4 linked regions of the Arabidopsis thaliana genome follow. The protein of the gene in region 1 interacts with the protein of each later gene in a pairwise test. Each region holds a gene or a part of one and is shown in the gene's direction. Other genes may lie near its edges. The genes, in order: CPK1, NRT1.1, PUP14 and ERS2.

The links.
Region 2: the proteins of CPK1 (region 1) and NRT1.1 interact in a protein complementation assay, tested with the Arabidopsis thaliana proteins (one large-scale study listed by BioGRID).
Region 3: the proteins of CPK1 (region 1) and PUP14 interact in a protein complementation assay, tested with the Arabidopsis thaliana proteins (one large-scale study listed by BioGRID).
Region 4: the proteins of CPK1 (region 1) and ERS2 interact in a protein complementation assay, tested with the Arabidopsis thaliana proteins (one large-scale study listed by BioGRID).

The regions. Positions count from the first base shown.
Region 1 is NC_003076.8:1,416,044-1,422,476, reverse strand, and holds CPK1 (calcium dependent protein kinase 1), read left to right. Parts: upstream 1-1,922; 5' UTR 1,923-2,599; coding exon 2,600-3,512; intron 3,513-3,629; coding exon 3,630-3,773; intron 3,774-3,868; coding exon 3,869-4,021; intron 4,022-4,182; coding exon 4,183-4,298; intron 4,299-4,453; coding exon 4,454-4,621; intron 4,622-4,772; coding exon 4,773-4,997; intron 4,998-5,348; coding exon 5,349-5,462; 3' UTR 5,463-5,913; downstream 5,914-6,433. UniProt on the Arabidopsis thaliana protein: May play a role in signal transduction pathways that involve calcium as a second messenger. Phosphorylates the Ca(2+)-ATPase ACA2 resulting in the inhibition of its calcium activation.
Region 2 is NC_003070.9:4,103,470-4,110,130, forward strand, and holds NRT1.1 (nitrate transporter 1.1), read left to right. Parts: upstream 1-1,753; 5' UTR 1,754-1,871; coding exon 1,872-1,986; intron 1,987-2,171; coding exon 2,172-2,349; intron 2,350-2,443; coding exon 2,444-2,483; intron 2,484-2,657; coding exon 2,658-3,232; intron 3,233-4,956; coding exon 4,957-5,821; 3' UTR 5,822-6,132; downstream 6,133-6,661. UniProt on the Arabidopsis thaliana protein: Dual affinity nitrate transporter. Involved in proton-dependent nitrate uptake and in the regulation of the nitrate transporter NRT2.1.
Region 3 is NC_003070.9:6,830,760-6,834,340, forward strand, and holds PUP14 (purine permease 14), read left to right. Parts: upstream 1-1,565; 5' UTR 1,566-1,666; coding exon 1,667-1,709; intron 1,710-1,804; coding exon 1,805-2,943; 3' UTR 2,944-3,078; downstream 3,079-3,581. Other genes in the region: CNGC8 (cyclic nucleotide gated channel 8), read right to left, coding at 3,126-3,581. UniProt on the Arabidopsis thaliana protein: Purine permease implicated in ATP-dependent cytokinin translocation that controls the spatiotemporal landscape of cytokinin signaling. Depletes ligands from the apoplast, which leads to a suppression of the cytokinin response.
Region 4 is NC_003070.9:1,154,242-1,159,788, reverse strand, and holds ERS2 (ethylene response sensor 2), read left to right. Parts: upstream 1-1,975; 5' UTR 1,976-2,243; intron 2,244-2,649; 5' UTR 2,650-2,663; coding exon 2,664-4,439; intron 4,440-4,511; coding exon 4,512-4,673; 3' UTR 4,674-5,025; downstream 5,026-5,547. UniProt on the Arabidopsis thaliana protein: Ethylene receptor related to bacterial two-component regulators. Acts as a redundant negative regulator of ethylene signaling.

The DNA.
Region 1 (6,433 bases):
CGAACACTGAACTGCTCAATACGCTTCTACTGTATCTTCCTCATAAGCCTTCGCGAGGTTTCTGAGTCGCTGCTCTGTGTATCCACCGCCGTAAAAAGCTCTCCTTTTTCCTCTCCGATTCTTCTTCTGTCGACTTTGTCTCCATCCTCGGATCATGATGACGGGAATAGGAGCCGTTTGATTGAGGTTAGGGATTTAAGTGCTTGTGATTGTTGAATTGTGGAAGAAAGGAGAGATTTTTCATGTTAATGAAACACTAGTACATATAGACGTTGTGAAGTTTGTTAGCCGTGATTCTATTGGATATTATTTCTGTACTAAGAGAGCATTAGCTAAAATTTCTGACAAGCTTAACTAATTCCAATTGTGTGAATCATTTGCATCATTGCTGATATTTCCTAACTAATATTATGAAAGGTTGAGGCTCGTAAGTTTTTTGCTTATGAACACATTTTTTCAAGGTAAGTTTCTCAATCTTCATGTTGTTGAAACATATGATTCCTAGAGTATCTCTACTCGTACCCCTCTCATAAATCATTGTGTTTAAAGCCGAGCATCTGCATGATATGTAAGGATCTCTTGCGGTTCTCTTCTTGAGTCTCCAAACTCCAGTTGAGATCCCTGGTGTTAGCAATATGGATTTTCTCGAGAATATAGTATTTGATGCTAGGAACAGAAAACCTGGTCAGCCAAAGATTGAGCCAATGTAGGTGTCTTCGCGCATTAGTCAGTTAGATGGTTTTGGACTGTTACTTAGTTGATGGTGCACACTCATATATCTGATATAGAATTGTGTTCATGCAGTTGGAGGATTTAGAGGTGGCGAAAAGAAGCATAAAGAGATTCTTCCATTTCCAAGCGCAACACATGATAAGAAAGGTGAGGGTTTTCTTACCTTATTTTCCGGTCAATGGAAGACACACACTTGAATACCGTCATTTCCCTTTCCCACACTTGTTCTCTATTAGTGTCATAAACAGAATGCCGAATAGGTTACTTTTCATTTTATAGTCATGACTAGGAAATTTTGTTCCTCATAGCAAGATATGGAAACAGTTGTCAATTTAATTTCGTCATAGTGAAAAGGATCAATCAAGGAACAAGTACGGAAAAGATTGAGAATCTCTGTAATAAGGATCATCTGTTTTTGGAGGTCCTTGGATGTTTACTTGATCAGGACGTGGCAGAGGCAATGAACAGACTTTTGTCACCAAAAAACGCTGTTGTGATGATTGATAATCTACTATCAGAACATACTGCACTACATCAAACCAAGTCTCATACACATCATAGTGAGCGTCTTTGCCACAAATCATATCTTCTTAAATACTGATTCAAACCACCATCTCTTGATAACAATAGTGAGCTTCGTTTTTGTTTTAGGCAAGCATTCTTTCCATATCAAATCAATAACAGAGTGTCCAGAGATTCATACCGTTCTATTGCAGTAGGGACATCTCATTGGCTTATCTACTGGAAAAAGGAAGGGTGCTTGAGTGTTCCGTTAGGACCAGCAAAAACAATGGAAAGTGGTGATCATGATGTTTAGAACACCAAACTCGCCGTCTCTACAATATTAGTTCTGGTCTAGGTTTTGATCTTCAATAATAGCTGTGGTCGGAAGGAGTAATTAGGGTAAAACATAAGGGCGAAGACAAGAATGTGTAGAGCATGTGATTTGTTCAAGCTTTAACATGTGGATGTCTTATTTTTAATGACTGCTCTTTAATATGTGGGTTTTGTTTGCGCATTTTTCACTTGCGGGTTATATTTTTCAAAAGTAGTAAATGATGGGACCATTATAAAAAGGATGTTATTAGGACTCCAGAAAGGAAATTGATTTTATGGAAAATCACCTTTTTACCTCAAAGTTTTAATATATTACTAATTAAGTACCCTTACATAAGAAGCTGCGTTGCCAAGATTGAAGAGGGTGGTGGACTTTGTAATCAAAGATTAATTAAAAAGAGAGTTAAGACAAATCTCAGCGGAAAACTCGGCGGTGATAGATAATCAAAACAAAAGAAACGCGTTTTTCAAACTGGTTCAATCTTCTTCTTCGTCTTTCTTCATCGTCTTCTTCTCTATACAGACCTTGACTCTCTCATTAAATTAACAAATGTCCCTACGGTTTATGCAAGTGTAGTGCTATTAAACTATCCCTTTTATTTTCCCACCCAACTCAATTTATTTTCTCATTCTTTCTCTTTACTCTTCTTCAGATCTCTCTGTTTCTTTCTTTGTTGTTGTTATCTGGGGATGCTTTCTACTCTCTGTTTGGTTTCCTTCATTGTGACTTTCTATTTTCTGGGTTTGTTTCAAGTCATGATTTTTCCGATACCCTTTTGATTTTTCTTGCTATTTCTCACCTCTGTATAAGCAAGCTCTCTGCTGTTTCTCCTCATCCAAGTTGGGTTTATCAGTTCAGCTGTGTAGAAATTCAATCGTCTGAGAAGTCCGAGGTTTGATGTCTGATGGTTTTAAGATCGAAAGGATTTGACTTTTATCAGATTAGTAATGAGATTAGATTGTTTTTGAGGTTATTGTAATCAGATCTTGATGCTATTTCTGGTGAAAGAGATTTAAGACAAGTTAGGGAATGGGTAATACTTGTGTTGGACCAAGCAGAAATGGCTTCTTGCAATCTGTTTCAGCTGCAATGTGGCGGCCAAGAGATGGAGATGATTCGGCTTCCATGAGTAATGGAGATATTGCAAGTGAAGCTGTTTCGGGAGAGCTTCGATCTCGATTATCTGATGAAGTCCAGAATAAACCTCCTGAACAGGTCACAATGCCGAAGCCAGGGACTGACGTCGAGACCAAGGACAGAGAGATTCGAACTGAAAGCAAGCCTGAAACGCTAGAGGAGATAAGCCTTGAGTCCAAACCAGAGACTAAGCAGGAGACCAAGTCAGAGACCAAGCCGGAGTCAAAACCTGATCCTCCAGCTAAACCTAAGAAGCCTAAACACATGAAGAGAGTGTCAAGTGCAGGGCTTAGGACTGAGTCAGTGTTGCAGAGGAAGACTGAAAACTTCAAGGAATTCTATTCCTTGGGAAGGAAACTCGGACAAGGGCAATTTGGGACGACTTTTTTATGTGTCGAGAAGACTACGGGGAAGGAGTTTGCCTGCAAGTCGATTGCTAAGAGGAAGCTATTGACTGATGAGGACGTTGAGGATGTGAGAAGAGAAATTCAGATAATGCATCACTTGGCTGGTCACCCTAATGTCATCTCCATCAAAGGAGCTTATGAGGATGTTGTGGCAGTGCACCTTGTAATGGAGTGTTGTGCAGGCGGCGAGCTTTTTGACAGGATCATTCAACGCGGTCACTACACAGAGAGGAAAGCGGCTGAGCTCACTAGAACCATTGTTGGGGTTGTAGAGGCTTGCCATTCTCTTGGTGTTATGCATCGAGACCTCAAGCCCGAGAATTTTCTGTTTGTCAGTAAACACGAAGATTCCCTCTTGAAGACGATTGATTTTGGACTCTCCATGTTCTTTAAACCAGGTTTGATTTCATTGTTACTCATCTTAAAAGATCCACTTCCAGATTTGGTCTTTAACGTGAATAGTGTGATCCTTGTCGAACAATTATTTCTGAACTCGATTCCCTTCCTCTTTGCAGACGATGTTTTTACAGATGTTGTTGGTAGCCCATATTATGTTGCCCCAGAAGTTCTTCGAAAGCGTTATGGCCCTGAAGCTGATGTCTGGAGTGCTGGAGTGATTGTGTACATTTTATTAAGCGGAGTTCCTCCATTCTGGGCTGGTAAGAATTGTATATATACAGATAAGAGATTTGTCACTTTTCCTAACTAGGCTCTGAACAACATCTCTAATCTTTTTGTTTCTTTGAACATTCAGAAACCGAACAAGGTATTTTCGAACAGGTCCTCCACGGTGATCTTGACTTTTCGTCCGATCCATGGCCAAGTATATCTGAAAGTGCAAAGGATTTAGTGAGGAAAATGCTTGTCAGGGATCCCAAGAAAAGGTTAACTGCCCACCAAGTATTATGTAAGTTATTTTGATCTGAAACCTTCTCTTCCAGTTAAAGCGCTGTGATTCTCTTTCTGTTAATTCCATTGAGCATAGATTTCACTACATGAATAAAGTGTGTTGTCATGTAGAGTGATCTACCATCGTTCTATCTCTTATGGAGTTGTGCTTCTTCTCAGGTCATCCATGGGTTCAAGTCGACGGTGTGGCTCCAGACAAGCCTTTGGATTCTGCTGTTCTGAGCCGTATGAAGCAGTTTTCTGCAATGAACAAGTTCAAGAAAATGGCTCTTAGAGTAAGCAGCTTTCCGATGCTAAACAAAATTTAAAACCATATAAAAGAAGTTCCTGTCATAAACATAAGATAGCTACATTTAACCCATCTTCCTCTTGTTATGTGGAAAGAAAGAGACGACGGAGATTAAGTTTCTCTCTTTATGCCTTTTTGCAGGTCATTGCTGAGAGCTTATCTGAAGAAGAAATCGCCGGCTTGAAAGAAATGTTTAATATGATAGATGCGGACAAGAGTGGTCAGATAACTTTCGAAGAACTGAAAGCAGGACTAAAACGAGTAGGGGCGAATCTCAAAGAGTCTGAAATTCTCGACTTGATGCAAGCTGTAAGTTTTAACCGGCATACCAGTTCCCTAACTAAGATTCTGAACTGATCTTGTTATCATTCAAACTTACTCTGTTGGTTGTGGTTATATACTTCTGTTTTTGCTAGATATGCAAGTAATCTGGTTTCTCTCTCATGTGTATATAATTCAGGCTGATGTGGACAACAGCGGAACAATAGATTACAAAGAGTTCATAGCTGCAACATTACATCTAAACAAAATAGAGAGAGAGGACCATTTGTTTGCAGCCTTTACATACTTTGACAAAGATGGGAGCGGCTATATCACCCCAGACGAGCTTCAACAAGCTTGTGAGGAGTTTGGTGTTGAGGATGTCCGCATAGAAGAACTGATGCGCGATGTTGATCAAGACAATGTAAGTTCCTTTACACCTTTTATCATCTCATCCTAATTATAAAATGACTTGAATACTTCTCAACAATGATCAAATTTCAATGGATTATATACATTTTACTCATAGGAATCTCACTTATATGATCCTCTTAAATCCTTGCATTATTAAAACTACACTTCACTTACCGAGTTTTCATGTCTGTTTTCTTGGGAAAACTGAGACGATTGAGTATGATTCTTGTTAAACCTAGGGGGATAGTAGAAACTCTCTTTCCTGAGAAACAGTGAAGTAAACCGAGTTTTCATGTCGGTTTTGGATTGATATATTGGTTGAATGTTGATAATGTTGAACATTTGAATTGTTGTATTGTAGGACGGGCGAATAGACTACAACGAGTTTGTGGCGATGATGCAGAAAGGAAGCATCACAGGAGGACCTGTGAAAATGGGTCTAGAGAAAAGCTTTAGCATTGCTCTTAAACTCTAGTTTCTCAGTCTATTTAAAAGTACAAAACTAAAGCCAAGAAGACAAAAGAGTTTTCTGATAATATATACCATTTTGATTATGTTGAAGACATATGCACACAGCCAAGATTCTCTCTTGCCCTCTTTTGGATTCTCTCAATCTTTTGGATGAGGTTTTGTCTTAGACTTGTTTTGGAAACTTTGTTGTATTGTGTTACTTCTTGAGCATATATAGTCTTCTAACATTACAAACCACGATTTCTTGTCTGTAAGTAAATTCAAAGAGTCAAAAAACTTGAACACGATTTGGAAATTTTGCGATAACGATCATCAAATTTTTGTGAGGGCTTTTTCTTGTAAAGCAAAAAGTTTGAGTATTTATGTGAAAATCGTTTAAAAGTTGAGGTACTTCTATGTAATTTCCCAGTTTTCTTTTTTTGAGAAATAAAATAACTTAACCGAATTTCAATTAATTTGTTGTCCGAATTATATAATTCAAGTCCTTACCGAATCTAAGCTGAAATCAAATTAAATTATAAGCAGATAATTAAATTGGTCACCGAAAATAATAGCCACCAAACCTCCTAATCCTAAACACGTAGTATTTTGAGATCTTTATTTTCCATTTACATAATTAATTTCTTTTTTATGATTGGAAAAAACGAATAAAATGATCTTTTAGCTAGTGTTTTTGGTCAACATAAATACCTAACTTACTCTTTAGAACAACAAAAAAAATGGAGGAAAAATATAAAAGTGGGTCTCACAATCAAGTTATTTCTCCAAAAATAAATAATTTAAAGCTTGCGTTTGTTGTTGACATTTAAAAATGTTTATTTTGGGGTACGACTTTTTAATTTATAAAATTATTAAATTGGTTTTATTTAAATAAACTGATTAAATTGTCTATTTCAAAACTGCGTCCCTATCCCTTTTAAATTTCCTAATTTCAGTCCACAAAACGTGATCATGATTACTGTATCATAAAGTTTT
Region 2 (6,661 bases), on another chromosome or scaffold:
TATAAGTTTCCATTAATTTATTTTCTTATTCCTTTTCGGAGGATGTGTTTATTAATTTAATTTCAATAGAAGATAATATATTTGGGTTCACCACTCGTTCTCTTTTTCTTTTTGGATGGGACTCTTCATTGTGACTTTTTTGTTCTCGCTCTTCCACAATCTTTGGATGTGTACAAAATAATCGATTGTTGGGGATATTATAGTAAATTTAGCAATATGAAACTAGCAACGAAGAAAGTGTTTATTGATGGGTTCAAAATTTCATCGATCTGCATATCAATAACTCGGAAAGAGATGGATCATGACACATAGTATACAATAAATTTTATAAATTTCGAAAATTAACTAATTGAGGATAGAAATTCATCAATTACTTAATAAATAAATAAAAAACTGATTCAAATGTATGTTTTACTTCTGTAACATACAATTTCTTGCTTTTCTTGAAAATTGACTCGTTTTTTATATTGGATATTTTACATAGACTTTGAGACTTATTAATAAAACTAACTAACCATCTCTTACAAATTGTTGGAATAAATTATTTTTATTTTTCTGTTGGCTCTATAAAATGAAAATGACCTTTGTTCTTCTTCTTTATACTCCTATATATGTTTTCTCCAGAGAGAAAGAGAACCATTGAAGTTGCGAGACTTCCAATTATATATATAGTTCATGAAAGTCCTGTGACCATGCTCTTTATTTATTTTATTTCACTATACGTTAAATAAATGGAAAGTAGGGTAATAATCATATTGCAGCATGATTCATTTTAGTGGCGTCTAAGAAGCATTCATTTTGAGCCATTAAATCTCAAGGTAGACTTTCCCATTAACACAAAAGAAGAAAAAATTGGTACGTAATCATACCAACATCTACAAATCTTTGGTTTCAATTTTGTAACAAAGACCTAGATTGTTGACAAACAAAAAGCAAATACCTAAAAGGACTTTTATTGACTTCTATAAAGATGTTTTGATTGAAATTTCATATAATTTAATAGTTTCCTCAAACTATATGCAATAAAATTATAATTTGATAATTACATGTGAAAGAAAACATGACTCTCAAATTAATATGAGTCGATTATCAATAAATTTTTGTGATATGGCTGTGCTGCAGAACAACTGAATGGGCCTAGAAGTAAAGTTGATATTGAGCAAACAAAAAACGAAATAGATTTTTTTTTTCTTTTGGGCAAACTCAAAAAACGAAATAGATATGCCTCGACAATACTACAAAATCTCAAATGAACAATATTGATGAAAATGCGTTTGTAACACAGAAATCAATTATTTTGAATTATTTTCCATATATAGTACAGACGTAAAAAACATACTGTATTATCTTTCATGGAAGTAAAATAATTTTCCAAGAAATAGAACAAATGTAAAACAGGTGGTGGCTAAAACTGGTGCTTTTAATGGCTAATGCCATTGAATCACTGACAAAATGACCGATGACTTCAACTTAAAAGTTCAAGCCCACAGTTCCAAAGGTAGAGGAAGTGGTAAAATTTAGGTATGGTCTCTTTCTCTCTCTCTCAATTTTCTCTTTCTACAAATATATACTACAGTTACAGTAGTAGTTATTATTATTAATTATTCTCTCCCCAATCAAACAACACTCATCAGAGTCACACATGTGTCACTTTTTTCTTCAATATTTTAGTTTTATGAATAAAAAATCAAAATAAAACAATAAAAACTTTTTTAACTTGGCTAGTTTCCCAGTATAAATAGATGTATCAACGAACACATTTAAGACCACAAAAGAAACCAAGAGCTCTCAAACAAAACAGCCTTTTACATAAGAACAAACACCCCCAAAAACTGCAAAAAAAAGAGAGAGATCATTAATCCATCTTCAAGATGTCTCTTCCTGAAACTAAATCTGATGATATCCTTCTTGATGCTTGGGACTTCCAAGGCCGTCCCGCCGATCGCTCAAAAACCGGCGGCTGGGCCAGCGCCGCCATGATTCTTTGTAAGTATAATCACATAATAAAAGTTCTAGAGAAAAGCTACCAACAATATACATGCTGAAGACAAGAATTGAAACTTTTTAATGGCATTTACTAAGTTATAAGTTTCTTATGGCTATCATTCTTATTCTTTTATGTATTCTCGATGTATCCAACTTTATCATTAACAAAATTTTATTGTGTGAAGGTATTGAGGCCGTGGAGAGGCTGACGACGTTAGGTATCGGAGTTAATCTGGTGACGTATTTGACGGGAACTATGCATTTAGGCAATGCAACTGCGGCTAACACCGTTACCAATTTCCTCGGAACTTCTTTCATGCTCTGTCTCCTCGGTGGCTTCATCGCCGATACCTTTCTCGGCAGGTTTGTCTATAAATATATTTATATTTACTTAACTAAAATCATTCAGATTCTTTTTAAAATATTAATTTGAGTTCATTCATTTTGTTTTGTATAGGTACCTAACGATTGCTATATTCGCCGCAATCCAAGCCACGGTAAGGACCTCAAAAGTCCCTTTCTCCTTACCAAAACTTATACCCAAGAAAACGAAGAAAATAAAAATATTGTCTAGTCAATAAACAAATCGAAATAGTAAACAGCATAAGTCGTTATTTTTGTTATAGTTTTCCGAAAAATAATATCCGTGTTATGAACTATGATGCTATCAGGGTGTTTCAATCTTAACTCTATCAACAATCATACCGGGACTTCGACCACCAAGATGCAATCCAACAACGTCGTCTCACTGCGAACAAGCAAGTGGAATACAACTGACGGTCCTATACTTAGCCTTATACCTCACCGCTCTAGGAACGGGAGGCGTGAAGGCTAGTGTCTCGGGTTTCGGGTCGGACCAATTCGATGAGACCGAACCAAAAGAACGATCGAAAATGACATATTTCTTCAACCGTTTCTTCTTTTGTATCAACGTTGGCTCTCTTTTAGCTGTGACGGTCCTTGTCTACGTACAAGACGATGTTGGACGCAAATGGGGCTATGGAATTTGCGCGTTTGCGATCGTGCTTGCACTCAGCGTTTTCTTGGCCGGAACAAACCGCTACCGTTTCAAGAAGTTGATCGGTAGCCCGATGACGCAGGTTGCTGCGGTTATCGTGGCGGCGTGGAGGAATAGGAAGCTCGAGCTGCCGGCAGATCCGTCCTATCTCTACGATGTGGATGATATTATTGCGGCGGAAGGTTCGATGAAGGGTAAACAAAAGCTGCCACACACTGAACAATTCCGGTACGATTCTTTTAATTAACTCATCATTTGCTTTCCACGTACGATCCTCAAAACTTACAATGATTTAAATTTTAAGATAAAAGTTTTAAAATTTTTCTTTTTCTTTTCCATTTAAGGGTTAATTGAAATAATTGAGGTACTGGTTCCCTTAATTAAATGTGATAGTATCAGTAGACTTTAAAAATGTGAAATTAAAAGTGGGGTTGTGTGGGTGAGAAATAACTCGAAATGCTCGTGTCCTTTAATTATAGTGGGACCGTAAATATTTCTCATTATATGCCTACTTGGCATTAGAAATCATTTTTTTTTGACAGCCATTATAAATTAATTAAAAGGTGTTGAATATCTTTCTTTGTCTTTTGTTACGGGGAAAATAAATTATTTTCATAATATTATTACTCGACCATACAGCGAAACTGGTCCAGGATACGAATTATACAGCTAATTACAACATTTTTGGATTTTTGGGTTCAAAGTCCCTACTTTGGCATTTTATATTGTATATTTTTTCCTTAAAATCCTATGTGTGTGTGCATGTGTATATCTTTGTTAGATAACACGTTAAGTTCGGTTCATAGAATAGGTAGGAAAATAAAAGTAGTCTCTCGGAATTAGTCGGAAAGATAAAGTAATTCAGATAAACAAATGAATAAGTATATGCAAGTGATATCAAGTGGGGTAAAATTCTCCATCTTTACTTTTTGCCTATAAAAAATTTCACACCCACTCGTAGAATATTTGGTTTTTACAGAAAGAGTATCTTCATCATTGCGGAAAATTAAATACACCAATTTGCTATTTTATCTTTATTATAGTATTATAATTATGATTATGATTCTAATGCCTTATAACTTTAAATACACATACACTGACACACATATATCTATATTTATATTCCCCTGACTCGTGAGTTTTCCCCCTTTAAGTACGGTATCTTTTATTTTTGCTAACTTAAGTACAGTATCTTTTATCCATCAATCCCTATGCATACCTACATAGAAATAAAAGAATCCAAAGGAATCAATTTTTCTTTATACCAGATAATTTATGGAAAATCTATTTAGCATCTCTAGATATTGGAATCCCTTTCTCGGAAATAAAACTAATAAAGAAGAAGAGACGAGAAGTTAGGGTAGGGAGGCAGGTGTTTTGTCTGTAGTGAAAACGATCAAATATCGTGTCGTAGCACCTCCACTACTTTACACCTTCACCGGGACAGACCCAAAGTTAGGCATAATTAAGAACCCTAGCGTCACATGCACGACACGTGCTTTGCGTGCTCGGTGCTTCATTAAATTTCTCTTTCGTTTGGGTCTCTCTAAAAGGTAGTTGAAAACTAAAGAAAAAACCTTTTACACTTTTCCATAAATTCAAACTCTTAACTTTTTTTTGCCTACACTATTTTAAAAGCAATTACGTATTTGTCATGCATGTGTGTGAAGGATATATCATCTTGAAAAGATTCCACGTAACTATCTCCACAACATGTTGATTCAAATATTCAATGCGTAAGCTATATTCCAAAAAAAGAAACAATGTATTATTGATATGAAATTTCAATAAATAGGGACACTTCATAATTTTCTAAGAAACACACAAAAGATCTTTGGTTTGAAAAATCAGATACTTATCTTTAATCCAATATATGTAAAATATTTTATCTCCATTTTACATAATTTACTATTATATTCTAATTATTCCTTATATCATTTTTGATGCCACAGTTCATTAGATAAGGCAGCAATAAGGGATCAGGAAGCGGGAGTTACCTCGAATGTATTCAACAAGTGGACACTCTCAACACTAACAGATGTTGAGGAAGTGAAACAAATCGTGCGAATGTTACCAATTTGGGCAACATGCATCCTCTTCTGGACCGTCCACGCTCAATTAACGACATTATCAGTCGCACAATCCGAGACATTGGACCGTTCCATCGGGAGCTTCGAGATCCCTCCAGCATCGATGGCAGTCTTCTACGTCGGTGGCCTCCTCCTAACCACCGCCGTCTATGACCGCGTCGCCATTCGTCTATGCAAAAAGCTATTCAACTACCCCCATGGTCTAAGACCGCTTCAACGGATCGGTTTGGGGCTTTTCTTCGGATCAATGGCTATGGCTGTGGCTGCTTTGGTCGAGCTCAAACGTCTTAGAACTGCACACGCTCATGGTCCAACAGTCAAAACGCTTCCTCTAGGGTTTTATCTACTCATCCCACAATATCTTATTGTCGGTATCGGCGAAGCGTTAATCTACACAGGACAGTTAGATTTCTTCTTGAGAGAGTGCCCTAAAGGTATGAAAGGGATGAGCACGGGTCTATTGTTGAGCACATTGGCATTAGGCTTTTTCTTCAGCTCGGTTCTCGTGACAATCGTCGAGAAATTCACCGGGAAAGCTCATCCATGGATTGCCGATGATCTCAACAAGGGCCGTCTTTACAATTTCTACTGGCTTGTGGCCGTACTTGTTGCCTTGAACTTCCTCATTTTCCTAGTTTTCTCCAAGTGGTACGTTTACAAGGAAAAAAGACTAGCTGAGGTGGGGATTGAGTTGGATGATGAGCCGAGTATTCCAATGGGTCATTGATCATGAATTCATGATCATGATCATGATGATGAACATTATGCATGTCTATGTTGATATGTTTGAATTTGATTTTGAGTTTTGTTTGTATATTTTATGATGCTTTTCTTAATTACCTCTTGTTTCCGAGTCGACAAATAATGGACCGACCGATAAGGGATAAAAGTTAAAGTTTTCCCATCAGGTTCTGTATAAAAGCAGAAATTGTAACATTTCTTAAGATTTGACGCAATTAACGTCTTTTTGTCTTCAATTTCCATTTTTCATTTTTTCCCAGTAAATTATCATACCATTCAACGTTTGTTTTCTCACTTGTTTTGGTATCGTTTGTTTTCGAATATGTGAATAATTTGGACCAGAACTAGGCGTCTAGGCCACTAGCTAGTGCCTAGTGGACTATCACACCTTTCTTTTGTAATATTGGTAAACAAAAAAAGTTGTCTTTAAAACTATAATTGAATTATGACCGAGCTCTGTGAATTTACTGGCTCAATTGTCTCTCGATGACTACTGGTCAAGTGATTAATTTGAATTATCAAGGAGCTGCATGATTAAGTCCAAAACATATATAATCATGATGAATACAAATTAAATATGACAAATGATGAATATTACTTTTATTTGTTTACACTTGTTACTTTTATTTTTTGGATATATACTTTTATATCTTTCAACTATGTAGCTAATTGGATAAAGAATCATCAGTCTAAAGTCTAAACTGATCAACAATCCAGTTTTTTTTTTCAATTATTTTTCAATCAGATAAATACCAATTATTAGCTATAATTTCGATGAATTACTATCGAATTGTTTATAGGGAATTTAATGAAAAAAACCCTCAAT
Region 3 (3,581 bases), on another chromosome or scaffold:
TATCATAGAATAATGTAGTGATGCAAGTTAAGGCTTTTAATACCAAATCCTCACTTCTCGAGTTGTGGCATGTTCATTGAAAAGCCTGTGGAAATGCTATCTAAAGAAATTTTGTTGATCAGAGTTTCATTGCCCCATAGCGTTTTAGTACTGAAACTATAACAAAAGTCTAAAACTGGTATAGATGATGATATGCCGAAATGTATAATCCATGAAGGTTAGTAATAGTTGCTTTGTCTGTGTGAATTCAATTAACACATGACAGATTATGCCTACTTAAGCTGGACAACTGTGGCTAGGCTGCCTCAAGTTGATTTGGTGATATGCTGTGTTCTTTAATTATGGGTCCAGTGTAGTTGATAGCTTTTATGCCTATGGGTCATATGGGTGTTCTAATGGGTGTTCTATTTAAGAAGTTTGCGTGATCACAGTTTCAAATTCAATGCCCCATAGCGTTTTAGTTCTGAAACTATTGTACCGATGATGAACCGGGGAATTCAAAACACATGTCTAGAACTTATATAGATGAGTAATCCATGAAGGTTTAGTAATAGTTGTTTTGCCTTTGTGAATCTATTAACACAGTAATAGGTTATGCCTACTTGAGCTATTGCTCTGGACAACTTTGGCTGCTTCAGTCTCTTGGTCAAGACATGCTAATTTGTTAAGTATTAAAATGTTATTTTAATTACGGGTCCAGTGTATATTTGAGAGCATGTATGCCTATGGGTCATAATGGGTATAGCGTCGTGGAAACAGTGTGAGGACGTTTATATAGTCAAACGAGGCAATTGTGTACATAGAGATTTTGTATGATTCTTAAGTAAAATGTGTCAAATGAGCACCAAGGAAATTGCCTTTGTTTGTTACCCTTAATCTCTTATTTTGTAAAATCCAAACTTTCGAAGCTCATTTGGTTGAAAAATGATCAATGTTACGTTGAACAACATTGAATCTGAGTTCAAAATTTGTTTAGTTATTGCAAACAATTTGATTCGAAGTTCAAGTTCATTCTAATCTTGCACCTTTGGGATTATATCTTGAGCATTATAAAATGTCATATACCAAAATCCTTACATGAAGTATGATATTCTAAGATGAAGTCATAAGAAGACACGCATTTAAGAGAGTATCATATTACAAGTAGTGAGCTGCCAAGTGGGCATCGTGTTAGTTCAAAATTTCCGAAACGTAGGATGTTGGATAATCCCAAAGGTCAAACCCCCAAAACAAACAAAGTCAATATAACTTAAACTTAACTATACCATTTCCTTATATAACCTTCGAACCATAAATCCAATTCGGAATATTCGTTGATAGAAAACAATCAAGATTCAAAACCTCAAATATTTCTCATCATCTTTTGTCGATTATTGCTTGGATTTTGTAAAGACAAGAATAAGTTACTTCTAAGTGTTGTTTACACACTTTTTTGGATGACGAAACAACCCGGAACAAGTTGAAAACGACGACGCGTAGACATGAGGCTCGCTTGATTGACCATTACGCCGCCAGGGTAGACTTTTCGTGCCCATATATAATAAACCCTTCTCTTTCCTTTATCCCACAACATCATCCACTCCAAATATCACATATTACCAAATCTAATCGCCGACATACATTGAACTCAAATCCGCTCAGAATCTCCGACAATCAGTTCCAATCCATGGCTCAGAATCAACAACCTATTTTCCAGACCAAACCTCCAGGTAATAATAAGAATCAACAAACCAGATCTCTCGTTTCTTGATCTCCTCTTCTTACAAAACAATTTGATTCTAATTTCCTCTGTTTCTTTTTGCAGAACAATTTGTGCAAATACCTATCAACATCGAGCGTGATTCTTCAACCACACGCATGAACCAAACCGGAAACACAATCCGGAAACCAAACCACTGGCCAACCATCACCATCTCAATCATCTTCGTCATCATCGGTCAATCCATAGCGAAACTCCTCGAAAACTTCTACTACGACAAAACCAACCGAAGCGAATACAACGAAAACCGTCAAAACGATGGCGTTTGGACTCAATCTCTTCTCCAAACTGTTGGTTTCCCTCTCCTTCTTCTCCCGTTCCTCATCTTCATCACCAAGAACAAACGCAACCACCATCAACAACCTCCGATCACTTCCGATTCAATCCACTTAAAATCCTTAGCTGTGATCTACATTTGCATCGGAATTATCATGTCCGTTCAAGGAAGACTCGCAGCCATGGGAAAACTCGAGATCCCATTTGGTGTTTTCACTCTGATCTACACAGCACAGCTCTTCTTCACTCCTATCTTCGCAGCTTTCATTAACAAAATCAAATTCAATCGATGGGTTGTTATCTCTGTGATCTTAGCTATCATCACCGGAGCTCTTACTCTGTCTTCTTCATTCGGTGGTGAGCCTGATGAAGCAGAGGAGAATTACGCTAGAGGCTCATGGGCTGCTCTGTTCGCTGGAATCTGTTTCGCTCTTCTTCTCTGTAACATCCAAAACGTCTTCGACAGTTACATCTTCAAACGAACTGAATCAACCAATCAAAAACCAAGCTTTGCCTCTGTTTTCGAAGTTATTATCTTCTCTTCTCTCGTTGCTACGATCATCTCCGTCGTGGGTCTGCTTATAGCCGGTGAGCAACACGATTTGAAGAGGGAAATGAATGGATTCTCGAAAGGGAAAGGTTCTTATGTGATGGCTATGGTTGGTCAAGCTGTTTCGTGGCAGGTCTATTGGGTTGGGATTGTTGGACTTGTCTACTCTGTTTCGAGCGTGTTGTCGAATGTGATCAGTGTCATTACGTGGCCGATTGTGTCGGTTCTTGTGGTGATCTTCTTCAATTTCATGGATGATGAGTTTGATGCCTTCAAAGGTGTTGCCTTGGTTACTGCCGTCTTAAGCGCTGCAGCTTATTTCTTTAGGCTTCACAAAGACAATCGTATGGCTTATTAGGTTTGGATTCTTGAATCTCTAAAGAAAGTTTTTTTATTTCCCTTGATTTTTTGTGTGTATATCTAATCATATATTCTAGGTGTTTATCTTGTGTAAGTGTAAGTGTGTAACAGCTTTGGTTATAGATGTAAATTTGTATGTTTTACAATGAAAATGTTTGGAAGTGTGCAATCTATAAGTACTTAGTTCAAGTCATCTGTATCAAGAGCCTCAAAGTCAGGTTCTGATGGCTTTGTTAAATTCATTAAACTCTTTGAACTCTCGGTGACCCTTAGTTTATGACCCTTAAGCGCGTTAGCAGCAAATCTTGATGCAAATACCGTGGAACGTAATGTAGAACTTGATCCAACAGAACTATCACTCCTTGTAACCATACCACCCATATTATCATCATAATATTCATCATCTTCATAATCCATTTCTTCTTCTTCTTCTTCTTTACGTCTAAGCTCTGCGATTTTCCTTCTTAAATGTCTACGCCAAGCGGCTTGGATGAAACAAGCAGCCCAAGTCCTCCATTGTTGAGAGTAAAACCTGAAAGTTTGTTGAACCTGACGACTGTGAAGACGCCTGAACTGACTAGCCACAAACTTGAGCTCTTCCGCTTCTAAAGCGAAAGCCTCTACTTCAGTTAGAGC
Region 4 (5,547 bases), on another chromosome or scaffold:
AGTTCATATTCAAGACTCAAGAGAATCTCGTATATTCTAAGGAAGACGTACCTAAACAGAAAGTTGGTCCCAAAAAACGAGAGAAGGAATGAAAGATCAAGGATACATGTTTTATATACATGAAAAATACTAAATTTTAAAAGAAGTATTAAACGTTTTTATAATGTCACCGGAAAGAAGATGTAAATGTATTGATCAAATCATCTGACTATAAAAGTAATTCAAATCACCATTTTTTTAAATCAATTTGAATATTTGATGAATTTCCGTATATAAACAATCAGTCCCGCTCTTGCTGTATAAATGAAACGTCTATCAAACATTAGCTAGTCTTGTACTGGATTGCCTTTACAGACAAAAGATTATACTGTATATGTATGTGGTCTCATGCAAAAAAAGTAAAAATGATTCTGTGTACATCTGTTTTGATTTGCATATATATTGGCTTAAGTGGCAAAGGTGCATGCACTATTTCTATTTCTTTGATAAAAGTTTTATGATGCATGCATTCTTACCAGTGATTTCTTTAAAAGGAGAAGACATTTGTTTTGTAATAGTGACGAGAATGTAGACAGAAAAGGAAAGGAATCAGCACGTGTTCATCGCTCGACACGTGGCCAATAATAGCATTGGATTCAGAAAAAAAGAAAAAGAAAAAAGCGAAAAAACCTGTATAACAGGAAAAAAATACAATCTGCACCAGCCGGGAATCGAACCCGGGTCTGTACCGTGGCAGGGTACTATTCTACCACTAGACCACTGGTTATTTATTTAAAAGATTTATATTGGTATAAAACCTTGACCATAAAATGTTCCTAGTGCATCCACTAAGATCAAATTCATATTAATAAACAAAAACATAAAATTCAAACCGATATAGCAAGATTGCTGTTAGTTTTGTCTTCTAAATCTGATAAGTGTTCGTTATTGTCGAGGTTATGTAGCTAGTTTATATATTACTTGTACTAAATTTCAATAGGGCAATCAAAATATACGGATTTTCATGTGTATATATTTTTCTAAATTTGCGGTTTACAAAGAAAAGTTAGTGGTTGATCATATTGATTTCTTGAAAGGGAAATATTACCAATAAAATGATAAAATTGCCAAGAAAAATTAGTAGTACGATCGATAATTTAGTGATATTGGGATCCAAAGAGATGATCATGCACTTAGTTAAGACTCCATTTTCTGATAAGAGTTAAGTGGCGGTAGACCCACAAAGAAATTTGATTCGGTATTGTTATTATTGAGTAGAAAAACAAAGATGGAGTGTTTAACTAAATCATGTCTAATAAGTAGCAAGGTAGGTCAATATAACGTTTTACAAACGAAAAATAGCATTGCATATTTAATTATCTACCAAATATCTTAAGTCAGTCGAATAAACTAACTCATTATGTTATCAAATCAGCCGCAAATTGTGCCGTTTAAGTCAATACTATTTTTAACTTAGATATTTAGTGAGTAGACTTCATACTTGCATAGTCTAGTAGTTATCATTGTTTAATGCAATTTTTTGGTTTTAATGTAAACTTATACTACTATTTGGTCATGTAATCTCACTTTCTAAAAAACCAATGTAATCATCCATAATAGAAATAAAACATTTATTTAATATAATTAACTAATTTTTAAACATTAAAAAGAATAGATTTATTTTTATACATAAAATAATAGAAATATAAATATATATATATATTATTATAGGTTGTTTATTGTAATCCAAAAGCAGAATAAAATTTGGGATAGGTATTAAGAGTCATAAATCTTGAAAATAGAGTCATTAATTAATAAAGCTGAAAAGGAAAGATTAAAAAAAGAAGAAGAATCCTCTAAAATTGAATTTGGTAAGAGTCCACGTAGGTCAAGAAGAAGAAGAAGAAGATGTCGTGCTCGTGTTGTGTTCCAAACGAAAAGCGTCTATGTTCTCTTCATGTACCGTTTCTGGGTCCCACCCCCCTTTCCTTCTTCACTCTCCCCCCAATTCCTCCCTCTCTCTCTCTCTCTCTCTCTCTCTCTCACCAAAACGTAAATCTACTCTCTCTATCGCAGCAGACACAGAAAAAGAGAGAGCGAGAGACTCTGCTCACACACATATTTACTTCCCTAACTTGTCTCTCTCTCTACACATTCTGGTGAGTTTCGTAAGATTCAACAATCGTTTAGACTTCTTCTTCTTCTTCTTCTACAGCTTTTACGTTTTCTGGAAAAGAGATTTTTGGCTGATCACTACGTTGCAGGTATATGATTTCTCAAATGTGAGATGGGTTTGATGTTCCTTTTCGCTATTTCTCATCTGATTTTGAATTTTCTGCGGATTTTGTGAGGAATCGGTAGATTTTGATGTTTGTTCTTGTGGGTGGTTCATAACTTCATACATTTAGGGGATTAAAAGAAAATTAATTTACAAATTCGGTCCTTGTTGTGAAAAAGATTTATAATCTAAAAGACATTAACTTTACTCTCTCCTTGAACAAGTTTTGAATTTTGAATCTTTTTCTGATTTTGATTTTCACTATGTTCATAGGTAATTGCACAATTCTGGGTATACAAAATCCAAACGTTACGCATATTGAATTGAAAAATCTCGATTTTGAGTTCTGGGTATGAATAAAAATCTCACCTTTTTAATTAATTCTTACTCAGGGAAACAGTAATCGATGTTAAAGACATTGTTAGTCCAATGGCTTGTCTTCTTCTTCTTCTTCTTAATCGGTTCCGTCGTCACCGCCGCAGAAGACGACGGTAGCTTGTCGTTATGCAACTGCGACGACGAAGACAGTCTCTTTAGCTACGAGACAATCCTCAACTCGCAAAAAGTCGGCGACTTTCTTATCGCAATCGCTTATTTCTCGATCCCAATCGAGCTGGTTTACTTCGTGAGCCGCACCAATGTGCCTTCACCTTACAATTGGGTGGTCTGCGAGTTTATAGCCTTCATTGTTCTCTGCGGCATGACCCATTTGCTCGCTGGTTTCACCTACGGGCCTCACTGGCCTTGGGTCATGACAGCTGTCACTGTCTTCAAGATGCTGACTGGTATCGTCTCTTTCCTCACGGCACTCTCGTTAGTCACTCTCTTACCATTGCTTCTTAAGGCTAAGGTTCGTGAGTTTATGTTGAGTAAGAAGACCAGAGAGCTTGATCGTGAGGTTGGGATCATTATGAAGCAGACTGAGACGAGTTTGCATGTTCGTATGCTCACTACCAAGATTAGGACGTCTCTTGATCGACACACCATTCTATACACTACGCTTGTGGAGTTGTCCAAGACTCTGGGGCTCAAGAACTGTGCGGTTTGGATCCCGAATGAGATCAAGACGGAGATGAATCTTACTCATGAGTTAAGACCGAGGATTGATGATGAGAATGAGAATGAGCATTTTGGTGGTTATGCTGGGTTCTCGATACCGATTAGTGAGTCTGATGTTGTGAGGATTAAGAGAAGCGAAGAGGTGAATATGTTGAGCCCTGGTTCTGTGCTTGCCTCAGTGACTAGCCGAGGGAAGTCAGGTCCTACGGTTGGGATAAGAGTCCCTATGCTTCGGGTTTGTAACTTTAAAGGCGGGACACCAGAGGCGATTCACATGTGTTATGCGATATTGGTGTGTGTGCTTCCATTGAGACAGCCGCAGGCTTGGACTTATCAAGAGCTTGAGATTGTTAAGGTGGTGGCTGATCAAGTGGCGGTTGCAATCTCTCACGCCGTGATTCTTGAAGAATCTCAGCTTATGAGAGAGAAACTCGCTGAACAGAACCGAGCGCTTCAGGTTGCGAGGGAGAACGCACTGAGAGCTAATCAAGCCAAGGCTGCGTTCGAGCAGATGATGAGCGATGCAATGAGGTGTCCTGTGCGGTCCATTCTCGGGTTGCTTCCTTTGATACTTCAGGATGGGAAGTTACCCGAGAACCAGACTGTTATCGTTGATGCAATGAGGAGAACCAGCGAGTTACTTGTACAGCTTGTAAACAATGCCGGAGATATAAACAATGGGACAATCCGCGCTGCAGAGACTCATTATTTCAGTTTGCATTCGGTTGTGAAAGAGTCAGCTTGCGTGGCGAGGTGTTTATGCATGGCAAATGGTTTTGGTTTCTCAGCTGAAGTTTATAGAGCATTGCCTGACTACGTCGTAGGTGATGATAGAAAGGTCTTTCAAGCGATTTTGCATATGCTTGGGGTTCTAATGAATCGAAAGATCAAAGGGAATGTGACTTTCTGGGTTTTTCCGGAAAGCGGGAACTCAGACGTATCAGAGAGGAAAGATATTCAAGAAGCGGTTTGGCGACATTGCTATTCGAAAGAATACATGGAAGTTAGATTCGGATTCGAGGTAACTGCTGAAGGTGAAGAGAGTAGTAGTAGTAGTAGTGGTAGTAACCTGGAGGAGGAGGAAGAGAATCCGAGTCTCAACGCTTGCCAAAACATTGTAAAGGTTGGTCATTTGTGTTTTGTATGTAAATGTGCTAATGACTTGGTTTAACACTTTTATCTTGTTTTGTGACAGTATATGCAAGGGAATATTCGGGTTGTTGAGGACGGTCTAGGTTTGGTGAAAAGCGTCTCAGTTGTTTTCCGGTTTCAACTCCGGCGATCGATGATGTCGAGAGGCGGTGGATATTCTGGAGAAACGTTTAGAACCTCAACTCCTCCGTCTACTAGCCACTGATCATTGACGTCAGGAAGGGGGGGAGGGGAATGTAGTGCAAAAGAAAGATTTAAGGGGTGGAATCTGAGAATTTGTAAAAACAGTAGGGGCTTTAATGAGATTAACAGAGAGAGTACTAAAACGTTGTCGTTCGGTTGTAAAAACCTGAAAGTTAACTAGGTTTTAACCTATCGTGTAGGCAAAAGGTATGATGCAGACTTGTTGTAACTTGCTGGTGATAACAGAATTCAAAGTAAAAAAATGTGTCGGAGGATGTTCCTTACGGATTTGTGATTTACAAGCCTACCAACTCCTTTGTCAAATATTGTGACGTTTTAGATGAAGCTTATAAATTTATTGATTTCTGATCCAGAAACCGTATACAACTTGTATCCACAATATGTATCCAGGTACATATTAACTTCGACCTTTTAATTAACTTTTGTTTTTAAAAGGTTTATGTGATTTTTTTTTTTTAACATTGAGGTGATTCGTGCGACCTCTCTTTCTCTCTATTTATCTCTCTTTCTTTTCCTCCGTCGTCTTTTTTGGTTTGTTCTCTCTCTGTAGAATCTCATAGGAGCTGCCATTAGCCCATTCAACGAATTAGCTTCTCTTTGCTCTTTCTTCCACCATCTCAGGTTCGCTTCGATCTACAACCAATAAGCTTCTTCTATATCTCCTCCTTTGTTCTTCGGATTTTGCGAGGCTTTATGTTCCGATTACAGTCTTTCATTTTGATACCACACCGATTTTGATTTTCCCCGATCGTTGATTTCATCTGGGCTTTGTTTTGTTTTCCGATGTCTTTGATGAAATTATGAGGTTTCTCTGGATATTTTAGCTGATTGAAATGATATATTGCTTCGCCGCCCTCTAATTTTTCGGCTGATTT